Macaca mulatta: one gene and its partners. The protein of the gene in region 1 binds, or shares a complex with, the protein of each later gene. Links are inferred from orthologs where the notes say so. Each region holds a gene or a part of one and is shown in the gene's direction. Other genes may lie near its edges. The genes, in order: ZNF541, CIR1, HDAC2 and DNTTIP1.

Evidence for each region.
Region 2: ZNF541 (region 1) and CIR1 share a complex: the UniProt entries of both Homo sapiens proteins name them as parts of the histone deacetylase complex. The link is inferred for Macaca mulatta from reciprocal best matches to the Homo sapiens genes ZNF541 and CIRSR.
Region 3: ZNF541 (region 1) and HDAC2 share a complex: the UniProt entries of both Homo sapiens proteins name them as parts of the histone deacetylase complex. The link is inferred for Macaca mulatta from reciprocal best matches to the Homo sapiens genes ZNF541 and HDAC2.
Region 4: ZNF541 (region 1) and DNTTIP1 share a complex: the UniProt entries of both Homo sapiens proteins name them as parts of the histone deacetylase complex. The link is inferred for Macaca mulatta from reciprocal best matches to the Homo sapiens genes ZNF541 and DNTTIP1.

What each region holds. Positions count from the first base shown.
Region 1 is NC_133424.1:60,034,478-60,038,041, reverse strand, and holds part of ZNF541 (zinc finger protein 541), read left to right. Parts: intron 1-229; coding exon 230-403; intron 404-1,665; coding exon 1,666-1,990; intron 1,991-3,564. UniProt on the Homo sapiens protein: Transcription regulator which is essential for male fertility and for the completion of meiotic prophase in spermatocytes.
Region 2 is NC_133417.1:79,294,141-79,298,388, reverse strand, and holds the start of CIR1 (corepressor interacting with RBPJ 1), read left to right. Parts: upstream 1-1,396; 5' UTR 1,397-1,454; coding exon 1,455-1,526; intron 1,527-4,248. UniProt on the Homo sapiens protein: May modulate splice site selection during alternative splicing of pre-mRNAs. Regulates transcription and acts as corepressor for RBPJ. Recruits RBPJ to the Sin3-histone deacetylase complex (HDAC). Required for RBPJ-mediated repression of transcription.
Region 3 is NC_133409.1:19,023,491-19,027,054, reverse strand, and holds part of HDAC2 (histone deacetylase 2), read left to right. Parts: intron 1-1,186; coding exon 1,187-1,261; intron 1,262-1,728; coding exon 1,729-1,867; intron 1,868-3,564. UniProt on the Homo sapiens protein: Histone deacetylase that catalyzes the deacetylation of lysine residues on the N-terminal part of the core histones (H2A, H2B, H3 and H4).
Region 4 is NC_133415.1:98,576,340-98,580,341, forward strand, and holds the start of DNTTIP1 (deoxynucleotidyltransferase terminal-interacting protein 1), read left to right. Parts: upstream 1-1,166; 5' UTR 1,167-1,235; coding exon 1,236-1,340; intron 1,341-1,913; coding exon 1,914-1,984; intron 1,985-3,152; coding exon 3,153-3,249; intron 3,250-4,002. UniProt on the Homo sapiens protein: Increases DNTT terminal deoxynucleotidyltransferase activity (in vitro). Also acts as a transcriptional regulator, binding to the consensus sequence 5'-GNTGCATG-3' following an AT-tract.

The sequences.
Region 1 (3,564 bases):
CTGGTGTCACTTATCTCAGGATGGGGACGTCATTCTGGGTTGGGGGCTGGAGTTGGGCTGTATGGCTCTCCAGGGGCAGGCCGTCGCTATGGGCTGCAGCAGCTCTGCAGCTCAGTCCGTGCCACAGACTCACTGCTGTTTTCTATGACAGCTTTTTTTGCTGAAGCAGCTCTTTCTTTCCCCACCTACCTTATCTCTTAAAGAGCCATCTCTTCTCTTCTGTGTTTAGGTGTTTGGCACAGAGTTTTGCAAGCCGCTAAGACAGGTGCTGAGGCCAGAAGGGGACAGGCATAGTCCCCCAGGAGCCAAGAAGCCCTTGGACTCCACAGCTGCAGCCCCTTTGGTGGTCCCCCATTCGATCCCTGTGGTTCCAGTGACCCGACACGTAGGGAGCATGGCCATGGTGGGTGCTTGTCGGTCTGCCTCCTTCCTGCCACTGCCCCCAGATGCTGGGGGAAGCCGTAGGAAAAACCCAAACCAGATACCACAGAAAATCTTTGACTCCAGGCTGGGCGTGGTGGCTCATGCCTGTAATCCCAGCACTTTGGGAGGCTGAGGCGGGTGGATTGCCTGAGCTCAGGAATTCGAGACTAGCCTGGGCAACATGGTGAAACCCTGTCTCTACTAAAAATACAAAAAAATTAGCTGGGCTGGCCCTGGACAAGTGGCAGGCTCCTGTAAACCCAGCTACTCGGGAGGCTGAGGCCTGAGAATCACTTGAACCCGGGAAGCAGAGGTTGCAGTGAGCTGAGATCACGCCACTGCACTCTAACCTGGGTAACAGAGTGAGACTCTATCTCAAAAAAAAAAAAAATCATGATCCGGAAGAAACTGGTTTGCATGTTAGTTCAGTCATTCAGCATTGACTGAGCCCCTCTGTGCCGGACCCTGTGCTGGGTGGTGCTGGGGACACAGAGGTGACCACAGTAGCCTGGGCCCTGCCTCCCGGGGCTCCCAGTCCAGTGGAGGAGACAGGCCTGTCCCCAGACAGTGACAACCCAGAGTGGGCAGAGCTGGGAGCAGAGGGAGCCCAGGGAGTACCCAGGGGGCTCCTCCCAAGCCTGAGGAGGTAAGGGAGGGCTTCCTGGAGGAGGTATGGGAGCTGAGACCTGGAGGATGAGGAGGAGCAGGGCTGGCAGAGCGGAGAGGAGATTTTGTGGAGGCGAGAGAGAGCGTGGTGAGTTACGAGTGATCAGTCTCGTAGGGCTTGTCTCTGCAGCCTGTACTGGAGGACCCCCTACTGGAGAAGCTCCTGCTGGACTCCAGGACAGAGTCCATGGACCTGAAGGTCCCCTGAGTCAGTGGCTGGGTCTTTTGGGTGCTTGTCATTTGGGTGGAGCTACATTTCTTTCTTGTCACTGTCACACTGTATCTCTGGGGATCTCTCTCTTTTTAAGGGCCAGTTGTCTTAATGATTGAGGCCATTCTCACACAGAGTCAGGGGCTCTCCTGGGGCAGTGGGTGCAGGAGAAGGCTGCAGCCGTATCATCACCAGGCTCTGTACCTTAGGTGTGGCCCAGGTGTGGCCAGCCTCCTTCGCTGGGCGTACATGTCCTAGTTTCCTGTCTCTGGCCAGTCTCTTTTTCCTGCTTTCTTTCCATCCTGGAGATGGAGTGGTGCAGTAGGTGGCTTCAGGTGACCACCTGTGGTTCTAAACTTCTTCAGGAACAAGAGAAAGATGGGGAGGAGCGAGACAGCAAGGAGAGCAGCCAGCAGAGAAAGCGGAAGAAGCGGCCCCCACCCAAGAGGCTGTTCATCCCTCCTCCACCCTCCACGGCTGGGGAGCCCGGCCCTGCAGGATGCCACCAGAGTCGCCTGCGGTCGCCCATGTTCCTGGTGGACCGCCTCCTGAAGGGCTTATTCCAGTGCTCCCCCTACACACCGCCCCCAATGCTCAGTCCCATCCGGGAGGGCTCTGGAGTGTACTTCAACACCCTCTGTTCCACATCCACTCAGGCCAGCCCTGACCAGCTCATCAGCTCCATGCTCGGTGAGTGAGTGAGGCTGGGGCACTCACTCTGTGATCCCAGGGTGGATCGCCTGCGGATCATGGCCACTCTCCCTTGTAGCATTGGGTTCAGTGATTGTCTCCTGCCTGGGTATACCTAGTCTGAGGGTTCCTTTGCTATTCAGATGTGCCCTAGAACTAAGCTAAGTGCCTTCTAGTGCATAGAATTTTACAGCCCGAAAGAAAACATAGAGGCCATTTATCTTACCATGCTTCCTCCTGCGCTTCTGTGTCATTATCATTTTCTTTTTTGAGGCAGGGTCTTGCTCTGTCACCCAGGCTGGAGTGCAGTGGCTCGATCACAGCTCACTGCAGCCTCGATCTCCTGGTCTCAAGCGATCCTCCAGCCTTAGACTCCCAAATAGTTGGGACTACAGATGCACATCACCACACCTGGCCAATGTTTTAGCTTTCGAAGAGATGGGGTCTTGCTATGCTGTCCAGGCTGGTCTCGAGTTCCCAGACTCATGTGATTTTGTTGCCTTGACCTCCCAAAGTACTGGCATTAAATGTGTGAGCCACCCTGTCTAGCCTGTGTCATTTCCTTTTTTTTTTTTTTGAGACAGAGTATCACTCTGTCACCCAGGCTAGAGTGCAGTGGTGCAATCTTGGCTCACTGCAACCTCCAACTCCCAGGTTCAAGCAATTCCTGCCTCAGCCTCCCAAGTAGCTGGGACTACAGGCATGTGCCATCATGCCTGGGTAATTTTTGTATTTTTAGTAGAGATGGGGTTTCACTATGTTACCAGGCTGGTCTCGAACTCCTGACCTCCAGTAATCTACCCTCCTCAGCCTCCCAAAGTGCTGGGATTACAGGTGTGAGCCACTGCGCCTGGCCTGGCCTGGCCTATGTAATTTTCCTAACAGCTTTATTGAGCTATACTACACATGCCATGCAAATCACCCATTTAGAGTATGCAGTGTTTTTTAGGATATTCACAAGGCCGTGCACCCATCACACAGTCTAATTTTAGAGCACGCTTCGCATCCTCAGAAGAAGCCAGAGCTCATTAGCAGTGACTCTGCCCATATCCCCACAGTCCCTTCTTCCCCCAGCCTAGGCACCCACTCATCTGCCTTCTCTCTTTGGATTTGCCTATTTGGGACATTTCATGTAAGTAGAATCATACAATATGCAGCCTTTTGTGTCTAGTTTATTTCACTTGGCGTGTTTTCAGAGTCCCTTCATATTGTAGTGCATATCAGTGCTCAATTCCTTTTTATGGCTGAACATTTTTCCCTTGTACAGATGGGCCCCATTTTATTTATTCATCAGTTGATGGACATTTGGGTTGTTTCCACTTCGGGCTATTATGAATAATGCTGCCATAAACATTCGTGTAGAAATTTTTTGGGTTTTTTTTGGGAGACAGGGCCTCACTCTATCACCCAGGCTGGAGTGCAGTGGTGTGATCACAGCTCACTGCAGCTTCAACCTCCTGGGCTCAACTGATCCTTCTGCTTCGGCCTCCAGAGTAGCTGGGCCTACAGGCGTGTGTCTCCGTGCCCGGCTAATTTTTTGTAATTGTTTTTATGTAGGGAGGGGGGTCTTGCCA
Region 2 (4,248 bases), on another chromosome or scaffold:
TTATTTTCTTTCTGTGTTTCAATCCTTATGTCCTGGATCTCCTTCTATTTGTGTTTTATAGTTAGTTCCATCACTATATAATTTTGGCAGACTATTTAATCTCTCTCTTCCCTATGCCTTCTGCCTCACCAGTAAAATAAAAAAGACACTGTTTGATGGGCTGTTAGAACTTAATAAGGCAACATGTAAAGTGTTTTGCACAGTGCATAGAACATACTAGATATTCACGTGAAAGCTGTTGTTGTTATTTGGTAAGAGAGAAAATTTCTCATAAAGTCTTATTCTTTTTTTTTTTTTTTCCCTGACAGTTTAACTCTTGTTGCCCAGGCTGAGTGCAATGGTGCAATCTCGGCTCACTGCAACCTCCGCCTCCCGGGTTCAAGTGATTCTCCTGCTTCAGCCTCCCGAGTAGCTCAGATTACAGGGGCGCGTGCCACCACACCCGGCTAATTTAGAGTAGAGACGGGTTTTCACCACGTTGGCCAGGCTGGTCTACGAACTCCTGACGTCAGGTGATCCACCCACCTCGGCCTCCCAAAGTGCTGGGATTACAGGCGTGAGCTACCGCGCCCGGCGTAAATTTATTCTTAACATTACCCTGATAGAGAGCTTGGTTGGTGGGTCACCTGCTGCAGAAGCAGCCACGTCCACTCAAAAACCTGGAGTCCCAAGGTCCATCAAGCTGCAATAGGTAATCTGAGCTGCCTAACTGGGGTGGTAGGGAAAGCTAAGGAAACTTGCCGCCTGGTTAGAATGGCACCTAGCCCACTGAGGAGGTGAAGCCTTGAGAGATTTTACTAACTCCTAACGTGTATTCGTCATTCAGTAAGTCTTTATTGAACGTCTTTCGGCGCCAGCACCGTACAGCTGGGGCAAGGGCCTCCGTTCTTGCAAAGCTGTCTCATTCTATTTCACGCGCTCTTAGTTCAGCGGGCGCTTTCAGAAACATATCGTTGGATTCTCGCAAACATACTACAGTTAGGGCAGGAATTATTATCTCCATAACAGAGATGAGAAAAACAGTGCAGAAAAGTTTTTGCAGCTCGAGTCAGAGTTCACAGAAAGTAATGGGCTCGAGCTTCAAGCACCTTTGGTCGAAGGGCCGCCGCGGTCCACCCCGCACCCCGGCCCTGGGCGCTCAAATCGCAGCCAGCGCAGCTGGGCTCTGGAGCCCCTCGGTTAAGCAGTACCGCCCCACAGTTGGGTCTTCCCGGTTTCTGTCTCAACTATGCACGCCCCTCCCCCGTGCACGCCCCTCACCTGGCCTCCAAACTACCCGAAGTGACAGGTGGACGGAGGGAGGATTGGCCAGTGTAGGCATCAATTGCCGGAAGCTGTTACCTTTGACCTCGGAAGTTCCCCCTGCCGCTGGAAAAGCAGTTCCGGTTAGGAGACTGAGTTTGTTTACGTTACTTACAGATCTAGGTGCCGCTTTCCCTAGCTCCAGGTCCAAGATGGGGAAATCCTTCGCCAACTTCATGTGTAAGAAAGACTTTCATCCTGCCTCCAAATCCAACATCAAAAAAGTGAGTAAAGAGACCCGGGGAGGGATCAGGCCCACGGAGACTGCCTTCCCTGAGGTGCTGGAAGTGAAAGTGGTGATGTCTCTGAGGTCCGTAGGACAGCCCCGCTTCTCTAGGCCTAAAGCCCCGTAGTCTCGCCTTTCTCTGCTGAGCAGCTCGCTGACGCAGGGGATCCTCAGCGTTTATTCTGCAACAGCGAGGAGACCGGCGGCCTAGAGAATCTTTGTCGCCCGGAATGTAAATCCATAATATGTGAAGACTAATGTCAAAATTCCTCAGTACTTCCCTCAGCTGATTCTGGTTTTTTGTCTTTTCGGATCCCAGGGATCACGGCTTCTGAACTCTACTTTTCTGTACAAAGAAGTCTCCACGTTTATTTAAGATAGATCTTTAAAAAATTTACCCAATAATCTAGTGTCTTTTTAATGACCTCGTTGAAGTTTAGTGTTTTACGTAATTACAGGTCTACCAGGTGTAATACCTTGGTGAATATCATAGTAATGAAAAGCAGAAGAGTGAATTAGAAAGAATCGGCTTTCGAGTCAAATCTGGATTCTAGTTATTCGAGCAGTCACTTTTAGCCTTAAGACCTTGCACAAAATATTTGTAATATCTGACCCTCAGTCTCCTAATCTGTAAATTAAGGGTGATTGGCTTAATTGTGAGGATTAAGTGAAATAGTGGAGATAAAGGATTTGAAACAACGTAGGCATCTATCACTGTTCGCTACAGAGAGGAGGTGCTCAATAAAATGTTGATTGCCCCATGTAGAAAGTTGTGAAAATAACTAAGCTTTTATTTGTTTTTAGAACCAGTTGAGGTGATGAGATATTGCTATATACTCTCACTTCTAGACCAGTGATTCTCAACTTTTTTTCACTGTTACCTTCCTAAGGAGCCTTATTAAACATTTTTTCTTAGTAACTCCCCCATGAAATTTTAATAACGCAGATACACCTTGAAAGCTCTTTGGTAATCATCCAGCCCCATCTCCTTATTTTATAAATGAGGAAACAAATTTGCCAAGAGTTACACAGCTAGTTAAATGTTGTACCAGAACTAGAATCTGGAACACCCGATTAACCTAGTGATTTTTTCCGCCGCACCAGTTTGTGTTTGCGTGGTTGCAACTGTGGGAGGGAGAGGTTTCTTGTATTTGGTTGGCTCAATAACTGTTGACAGCAAACACAGACGTTTCCTTTCTCTGCATACTCAGGGGGTCAGCTATTACTAGTTTTACAAGAATGAAGAGATTAGATGGAATTCAGTTGCTTGCTTAGTTGCTGTTTATATTTAGAGACAAATATACCCGAGAAATCATAATTTTTTACTGGAACTTTTGACATTTAGCGTTATAAAAGTCATTGAATCAGCTTTCTTACAAGAAAAAAGAAATCCACGGAGAATAACTTTTGCAAATCCCCTATGAGAAATTCAGTAAAGCAGTTATAGGCTTAGAACCTACATTCTTCTCATCCGTGTAAAGTGTTAAGTAAAATGTACCAAATACTGTTGGCCTTTGTGATCTCTTTTATACTTTTCCCAGGATAGAGGAGAAGAATGAAATGTTTTTGATTAGCAGACCTTTCTAGATAGTTAATACTTTATGGGGAGAGGGGGTAACCTCTAACATTCTTAATTAACTAAGGATAGAGGAACTATATTAAATGAAGATAAATAGAAAAATGTATTCGGGTAGGAGGAAACTTTTGGAGATGATGGATATGTTTATAGTCTGGATTGTGGTGATGGTTTCTCAGGGATATACTTGTCACCAAACTCAGGTTGTATACATTAAATATGTACAACTTTTTATATGTCATACTCCAGTAAAGTTTGTTTGTTTGTTTTTAAGAAATAGAAGTGGAAGAAACAAAGGAGTTTGATCAAAGAGTGCAAAAGAGTTCCACCATGAAAATTTTAAGGGCCAGGTATGGTGGCTCATACCTATAATCCCAACACTTTGAGAGGCCAGGAATTCAAGACCAGCATGGGCAACAAAGTGAGACCCCCATCTATATTTAAAAAGAAAGAAAGAAAATTCTAATTGTAAAATTAAGCATGTTGGGTTTATTAAAGTCCAGTAGGTTCTTTTTTTCCTTGTTCGTTTTCAGTTTCCCAAGCTTACAAAGAGTCTGGTAGGTTTTAAGGTCTCATTTGTTCACCAGAAATAAGAGTGAATGCTATACATCTGCTGGTCACTCTGTTATGTATTGTTATGCGCTGCCTCAGTCATTTATGTCACAGGATACACTGTTTTAGTTCAGCTGTTCTTTTTTTTTTCTTGATATTGTTAATGAAGGAAGCAGTTAATTTACATTGTGGTCCAAGCTCCTTATTTGTCTTCTTGTGAACTGGCAAACACTTTACAAACCGGCTATTGACAATAGCACCACTGTAAACTCCTTTTTTTGTGAAAGTCTCTCTTCCCTTAGCTGTAGTAACTACTCTCTTCTAGTTTTCCCGCTCTATTAGTAGACTTCTTTTTCCATCAACTTCACTGGATCTTTATTTTTAGCCTGCTCCTAAAATATAAGTGTTCCCCAAAGTTTCATCCTTGGCCCACTTCTTGCTTACTTAGTATCCTTGCCCCAAGCAATCACATCCAACTAGCCCGTTTTAACTAGCCTGTTTACTCATGACTCAGATCTGCAGTCCCAGTTTTCTCTTCTTAACTTTGATGTGGCTCCAGACAGCTATCTAGACATTTACGTCTTGATGTCCT
Region 3 (3,564 bases), on another chromosome or scaffold:
GGTAGCCCTTGGGCAAACAGCGTAACAGGATTGATATAAAACCTGCATAATAATGACTTATATTAAGCTTATGATCCTGGCTGGGTGTGGTGGCTCACGCCTGTAATCCCAGCACTTTGGGAGGCCGAGGTGAGTGGATTACCTGAGGTCAGGAGTTCGAAACCAGACTGGCCAACATGGCGAAACCCTGTCTCTACTAAAAAAAGTACAAAAAAATTAGCTGGGTGTGGTGGCGTGCACCTGTAATCCTGCTACTCAGGAGGCTGAGATAGGAGAATTGCTTGAACCCCGGAGGTGGGGGTTGCAATGAGCCGAGCTCACGCTATTGCAGCCTGGGCAACAGAGTGAGACTCTGTATCCAAAAAAAAAAAAAAAAATTATGATCTATCTGAGCAGTAAGAAACTAAAATGTATTTCTTATAGTGCTTGTGACTTAAGGATGTACAAAGATATTAATATATAAAACAAGGACCCTTATTCTTGAAGAGGTTACAATTCAAGGGCATAGGGAAAGACTAAGAAAGGGTTATATATGTCTGCCATATCCCCTTCATTCTGTCAATACTGAGGAACTAAATGTGTGATGTTGTGTTATTTATCTGTATATGTTTTTTCCTTGTTGTCTTTAATATCCTTCTGTATTTTGGCTCCCATGAACCTAGTTAATTCTTACAAGCTTTCAAGATCAAGATTAGCCACGGAAATAGGCAACCAGCTGTTACATCTTTTTGGTTTAGTAACTTCCTGACATGCATTTCAAAGTTACAGATATTAATACGTATTTAAGGAGTTTTAAAGAAAGTAAATCATACAGCAATTGAAGTTACTTTTAGAATGTTAACTTACTGTAATATTAAGGGGAAAGGTCTAGAAAATTTAAGCCTGTGTTTTAATTAAATGAGAACTGTTGTGCATAGACAACTATTGAGTTCTTGTTAATAGACCAGAAATATTCCACAGATACTCCTGATAAGATTTGATGATGATCTTTCACAGATAACACTGTAATTACCTTGGATAAAACAATAAATATATTTTAAAGTTGTAAACTTTATATTACACTGTGAAGTGTATGTTTGATGATTGCATCAAGCAAAAAAAGTATTTGTAGGAAATAGTTTTTGTAAGAAAAGGCTTTCATTAATTTGCAGAGTGTGTTGAAATTAATGAAATCCATCTTCCACAGTTAATGTTGGAGAAGATTGTCCAGTGTTTGATGGACTCTTTGAGTTTTGTCAACTCTCAACTGGTGGTTCAGTTGGTAAGTGCTAATACAATCAGATTTAAAAGTTGTTCTAAATTTGGTGTGTATCTTCCAGGTTATTTGTGTAAAGCAGGAGTTTTAATGATTGTGAATTTTGATAACAAAAGGAAATCAGTATGTTTATAGTACAGTACAATTTGCTTTCAAACCTCTGTTTTGTTATTGTGACTTAAATACTTTTGTAACTTACATTTTTCACTTACAGACTTCTTTCATCCCACTTGTCTTCTAGCTATCATTGTTAGTACCACCATCTACATAAACCATTATTTAATCTCAGGGCGCAGCTCTGGGAGAATGTTTTTCTAAGGAGAAACTCCTATTTGTGTCATAGATGATTTTTGTTAAGTTTTATGATTTTAAGCTCTTTCTTATGCATGGCATACACTTGTAGGGTTTTCGTCTCGTTGTACTAATTTTTTATGTTAAATATTTAAAAAGTCTACCTTGTTTCTACTTCTTAGCTGGAGCCGTGAAGTTAAACCGACAACAGACTGATATGGCTGTTAATTGGGCTGGAGGATTACATCATGCTAAGAAATCAGAAGCATCAGGATTCTGTTATGTTAATGATATTGTGCTTGCCATCCTTGAATTACTAAAGTATGTTAATTTATATTGGTACTTTTTTCAGTGATAAAATGTTTTCATTAAAACACAATAAAAGTCTGTGGCTTAAAAAAAATCAGGTAAGCCATAGGTTGAAATAGTTAATGGTGAATTTTCTGGGAATTCATTACAAAACAATGAAGAAATGCAGGAAGTTTGCCCAAATCTTCAATTATTAAGAGTTAGTGTGTGGCCAGGCACTATGGCCGAGGCCTGTAATCCCTACACTTTGGGAGGCTGAGGTGGGTGGATCTCTTGAGCCCAGGAGTTTGAGACCAGGCTGGGCAACATGGCAAAACCCCATCTCTGCCAAGAAAAAAATTAGCCAGATGTGGTGGCATGCATCTGTAGTCCCAACTACCCAGGAGGTTGAGGTGGGAGTATCTGAGCCCAGGAAGTAGAGTCTGCAGGAAGCCATGTTCCTGTCACTACACTCTAGCCTGGGCAACAGTGTGAGATCCTACCTTAAAAAAAGAATTAGAAGTGTATAAAAGGCTGGGTGCCCGTGGCTCACGCCTGTAATCCCAACACTTTGGGAGGCCAAGGTGGGTGGATCATGAGGTCAGGAGTTCAAGACCAGCCTGACCAGCATGGTGAAACCCCATCCTACTAAAAACACAAAAATTAGCCGGGCATGGTGGCACGTGCCTGTAATCCCAGCTACTCAGGAGGCTGACGCAGGAGAGTTGCTTGAACCTGGGAGGCAGAGGTTGCAGTGAGCCAAGATCATATCAGTGTACTCCAGCGTGGGCTACAGAGCAAGACTCTGTCTCAAAAAAAAAAAAAAAAAAAAAAAAAAGAATTAGAAGTGTATGTAAATGTCAAAACTCCCATTAAATATCCTTTTTTAAAAGTAGTTTGGCAGTTTTCATTTTAGTTAGTTTCAACTAATAAAAAATGACAATGACCTTGGAAGTTTATGTTCTAGTATTTTGTAAATTGTAAATTGAAGACAAAAATTTGAAACCAGTATTTAAGGAAATTTGTTTACCTGTTGAGTTAGTCTAACTGCCTAACTTCCATATGTGAATGAGGCTTTGTTCTCTACTGATGGATATAAAATTATCTCTGAGTTGCTGCAGGAGTTATTTTTCCTTAGCTGTGGCTGCAGTTTGAGAGAGAGAGATCTGTAGAGGTACTTATGAATGTGGACATTTGCAATGTTATTTTTTGCCATCAGTTATGACACATCTTAGCAGATTCTACTTTATATTGTACTGAGCTGTTTTTTGCTTGTAGTTATTCCATGCATGCTATCCATAGAGGCTGATTTTTCAGTCACTGAAAATTGATACTGACTCCTCAAATAAACAGTAATTGAGCAGGATCAGTGTAACATCTTGTCAGCTCATCAGGAGCAAAGGAAAATCATTTGCAATCATTTGCCTTGTGTTTTAATTGACTGTTGATGTTGGTTCCAGTGTCTTCAACTCTTTGAGCAAGTTCTTGCCCACTCAGCTAATAGTTTTAAACAACTTTAATTTCTCTGGACACAATTTTTTTGGGTGGTGTAATCAAACATGATTTAATAAATTGACTTGGTGCACAGCTTTCCTTGCTTATCTAACACATGAGCCACTCAGAAACTTTACCTTGATCACAGCCTCATTTCTGTTTTTTAAATTTTGTGAAGAAATTTTGCTATACTATTATACGCTCTTTATATTCTTATGAGAATAGTCTCATGAGTG
Region 4 (4,002 bases), on another chromosome or scaffold:
AAAAAGCACCAAACACCTACATCTTTGTCCCTCTAGCCCACACAGGCCATTCTTGGACTGTATGAAGGCTAGCTGGCAGAACTCAAGAGAACAGTTGCTATGTATGACTCAGATAGTCTGCCTACATATACCACCTTTATTTCTTTTTCCTCTATTTCTTTTTTTCTTTATCTGTCCTGTTTATGCCTTTGGTCAGCTGTGATACCCAATGGTGTCCACTGGCACTGCTTAGTCCTATGGGCAGGTACAAGGTTAAAACCTCCCTAATAGGATGAAAAAGTTTGGAGCCAGGAAGTTGCCCTTATTGTTATAAGATTGATGTTGGCTCATGGAGATAATTAACATTTGTTGATGGCCTAACATGTGCCTAATATGCTTTTTTTTTTTTTTTTGGGGGGGGGGACAGAGTCTCCCTCTGTCCTCCAGGCTGGAGTGCAGTGGCGCGATCTCGGCTCACTGCACAATCTCGGCATAATTAACATTTGATGACGACCTAACATGTGCCTAATACGCCTGTTTTTTTTGCTTTTTGTTTTTTGTTTTTTTGAAACAGTCTCCCTCTGTCGCCCAGGCTGGAGTGCAGTGGCGTGATCTCGGCCCACTGCAACCTCCGCCTCCTGGGTTCAAGAGATTCTCCTGCCTCAGCCTCCTGAGTAGCTGGGATTACAGGCGCCCAACATCAGGCCCGGCTAATTTTTGTATTTTTAGTAGAGACGGGATTTCTCCATGTTGGCCAGGCTGGTCTCGAACTCCTGATTGCAAGTGATCCTCCCGCCTCGGCCTCCCAAAGTGCTGGGATTACAGGCATGAGCCACCGCCCCTGGCAGAGCATATTAAAATCTAGTCTTCAAACACTGAACTGCAGGCGTCGCTGCACCAAACACTTCCCTCTGCTCCCCAACCCCAGCCTACAGAAACCAGCTCCCCTCCTCCTACCCCGCAGTCATCCACAGGCCTTGGCCCAGCGGGAAACGTCCCTTGACTGAACCGCCACTGAACACCCACACTCCACAATCGAGGGGCAGCCCTCCCGAGAGGAAGCCCCAACGACCTCCAACCACAAGGCCTCTAGGTGTAACTGTCCCGGGCGAGGCGCGGCGGTTCGGTTCCCATGGTAACCCCGCAGCTCCTGCGTCGCGCTTCCGGGCGGACGAGCAGCGCGCCTCAGTGACGTCACGGCGCCACTTTCCGGCCGGTGGCAGAGTCCGGCGAAGTTGTGGTGGCCCTGGGGCGCCATGGGAGCCACTGGCGACGCCGAGCAGCCGCGGGGACCCAGCGGGGCCGAGCGGGGCGGCTTGGAGCTGGGGGATGCAGGCGCAGCGGGGCAGCTGGTTCTCACGGTGAGGGCGCCCCCGGTGAGGTCTGGGCTCGGGCCGGGCAGGGCCTCGGGGCTCCCGGGACCCTGGCCCGCGGGCGAGAACGCGGCGGCTGCAGCTGCAGAGGGGGTTGGCGTTTTCGCAGCCCGACGACCTGGATTCAAATTCTGGTGCCGCCCTCCTAGCTAGGTGACGTGGGCCAGCTCTGTCGACCCCCTGAGTCCCCAGATCATCATCTATAAAATGGAGATGATTAGTACCTGTCTCATAAAAGTTGTTGTGGGATGGGAAGATAAAGGCGGGTACAGCGCCCAGGACATCACCTGACACAGAGTTGACCCTCGGTAAACACTGCTTCCCTTCCTCCTGCCGTGCCAGAAGGCAGGGTCGGGCCTTTTAAGGCAGGAAACTTCCTCAGTTCCTCTTTTGTGGAGGGGGCCTTCCAACTGTTGTCCTCCCCCGATACCCCAAGGCGGGAGAGATGGTGACGGATCTGAGAAGCAGGAATGTTTAGGTTTAACTTCATACCCACCCTCCACCTCCACCCCACGCCAGTGTCACAGGCCGCAGTGACATTTGTTCCGTTGGTCCCCACAGAACCCTTGGAACATAATGATAAAGCACCGGCAGGTGCAGCGGAGGGGCCGCCGCTCACAGATGACAACAAGGTAAGGCTGGCCCTGCATGGGACTTGTATCCCAGCCACTGGCTTGCATGGCAGCTTTGGGATCCCCAGTGCACAAGACTATGGAGATCTACAGCCTGTAGAAAGAGCACAGGACTGAGAAAGAGGAGACTCCGATCCTGTAACTCTGTGTGATCTTGAGCTAGTCAAGTCACTTCCTTCTCTGAACTCACGAAATGGGGAAGGGCACAGGAGATGGGTTGGGGAATAAAAAATACCTAAGACCCCTCACATTCACTGGCTCTGTGATTGAGGGCTCTTAAGAGGTCAGTTAGCATGGAGTTTAAGAGCACGGGCTCTGGAGTCAGACAACTGTGTTCTCATGCAGCCTCTGATGAGCCCCTGTTTTCTCAACTATAAAGACGGATTAATAGTATCCATCTCAGGGAAGGGAGAGAGCACAAGGTGGGCCTTTGGGATGCTGGTAGTGGTGAAATGGATGTTCACTGTAATTACTCATTAAAGTGTATAGACTTTTCTGTATAATAAGTATTATATTTCATAAAAACACTTTGGGCCGGGCGCAGTGGCTCACGCCTGTAATCCCAGCACTTTGGGAGTCTGAGGTGGGCGGATCACCTGAGGTCAGGACTTTGAGAACAGCCTGACCAACATGGAGAAACCCTGTCTCTACTAAAAATACAAAAAGATGGCCGGGTGCAGTGGCTCACGCCTGTAATCCCAGCACTTTGGGGATCTGAGGCGGGCAGATCACCTGAGGTTGGGAGTTTGAGACCAGCCTGACCAAAATGGAGAAACCCGGTCTCTACTAAAAATACAAAAATTAGCTGGGTGTGGTGGTGCACACCTGTAATCCCAGCTACTCGGGAAGCTGAGGCAGGAAAATTGCTTGAACGCAGGAGGCGGAGGTTGCAGTGAGCCAAAACCACACCACTGCATTCCAGCCTGGGCAACAGAGTGAGACTCCGTCCAAAAAAAAAAAACTTTGAAAATAATACCCACTTCATAGAGTTATGAGAATGAAATAAAGTCATGCCTTTGTGATTTGAACAAAATCTGAGCATGTAGCTAGTTTTCAGTAAAAGTTGTCTAGTATTGTTAAAGAATTCTATGTCCATAATTGACTGGGCAAGGTGAGAAAGAATATGTTTCGGACATGCCCCCTCACCCTGTCTCCCTCCTGAATGCAGTTTCACAGATCCTGCCATCTCTATGGATCTCCTCCGAGCTGTCCTGCAGCCTAGCATCAATGAGGAGATCCAGACTGTCTTCAACAAGTACATGAAGGTGAGAGGGACACAGGATAAAAAATAACGGGAAAGACTCACGAGGAGCCCAGTCCTTCCTTGCATCACCAGTCCGTCTCTTTCCTACACACAGATATCTAAAGTTTTCCTTTTTTTTTTTTGTTTTTTTGTTTGTTTTGTTTTGTGTTTTTGAGACAGAGTCTCACTCTGTCACCCAGGCTGGAGTGCAGTGGCATGATATCGATTCAGTGCAACCTCCACTTCCCAGGTTCCAGCGATTCTCATGCCTCAGCCTCCCTAGTAGCCAGGATTACAAGCGCCCACCACCACACACAGCGAATTTTTGTATTTTTAGTAGAGACGGGGTTTCACTGTTGACCAGGCTGGTCTCAAACTCCTGACCTCAAGTGATCTGCCCGCCCACCTTGGCCTCCCAAAGTGCTGAGATTATAGGTGTGAGCCAGCGCGCCCGGCCAGCTTTCAAATTTTTAATCCCCCAAGAATTTTATCCCTTCCTTGAGGGTAATTCAGATATCTTTTTTTTTTTTTTAATCTGCCCTTGTCACTCACTGTCACGTTTTTGTTTTTGTTTTTTTTGCTGACTTCTTGTAAGGATGAAATGACTTAAATGTACTGTGCTGAGCACTGCACTTAGGACATAACAAGTGTCCAGTAAGTACTTCTATTAGTTGTTTAATAATATCACCATTATTGGGGCCATGCACAATGGCTCACACCTGCAACCCCAGCACTTTGGGAGGCCGAGGCAGAATCACTTGAGGCCAGGAGTTTG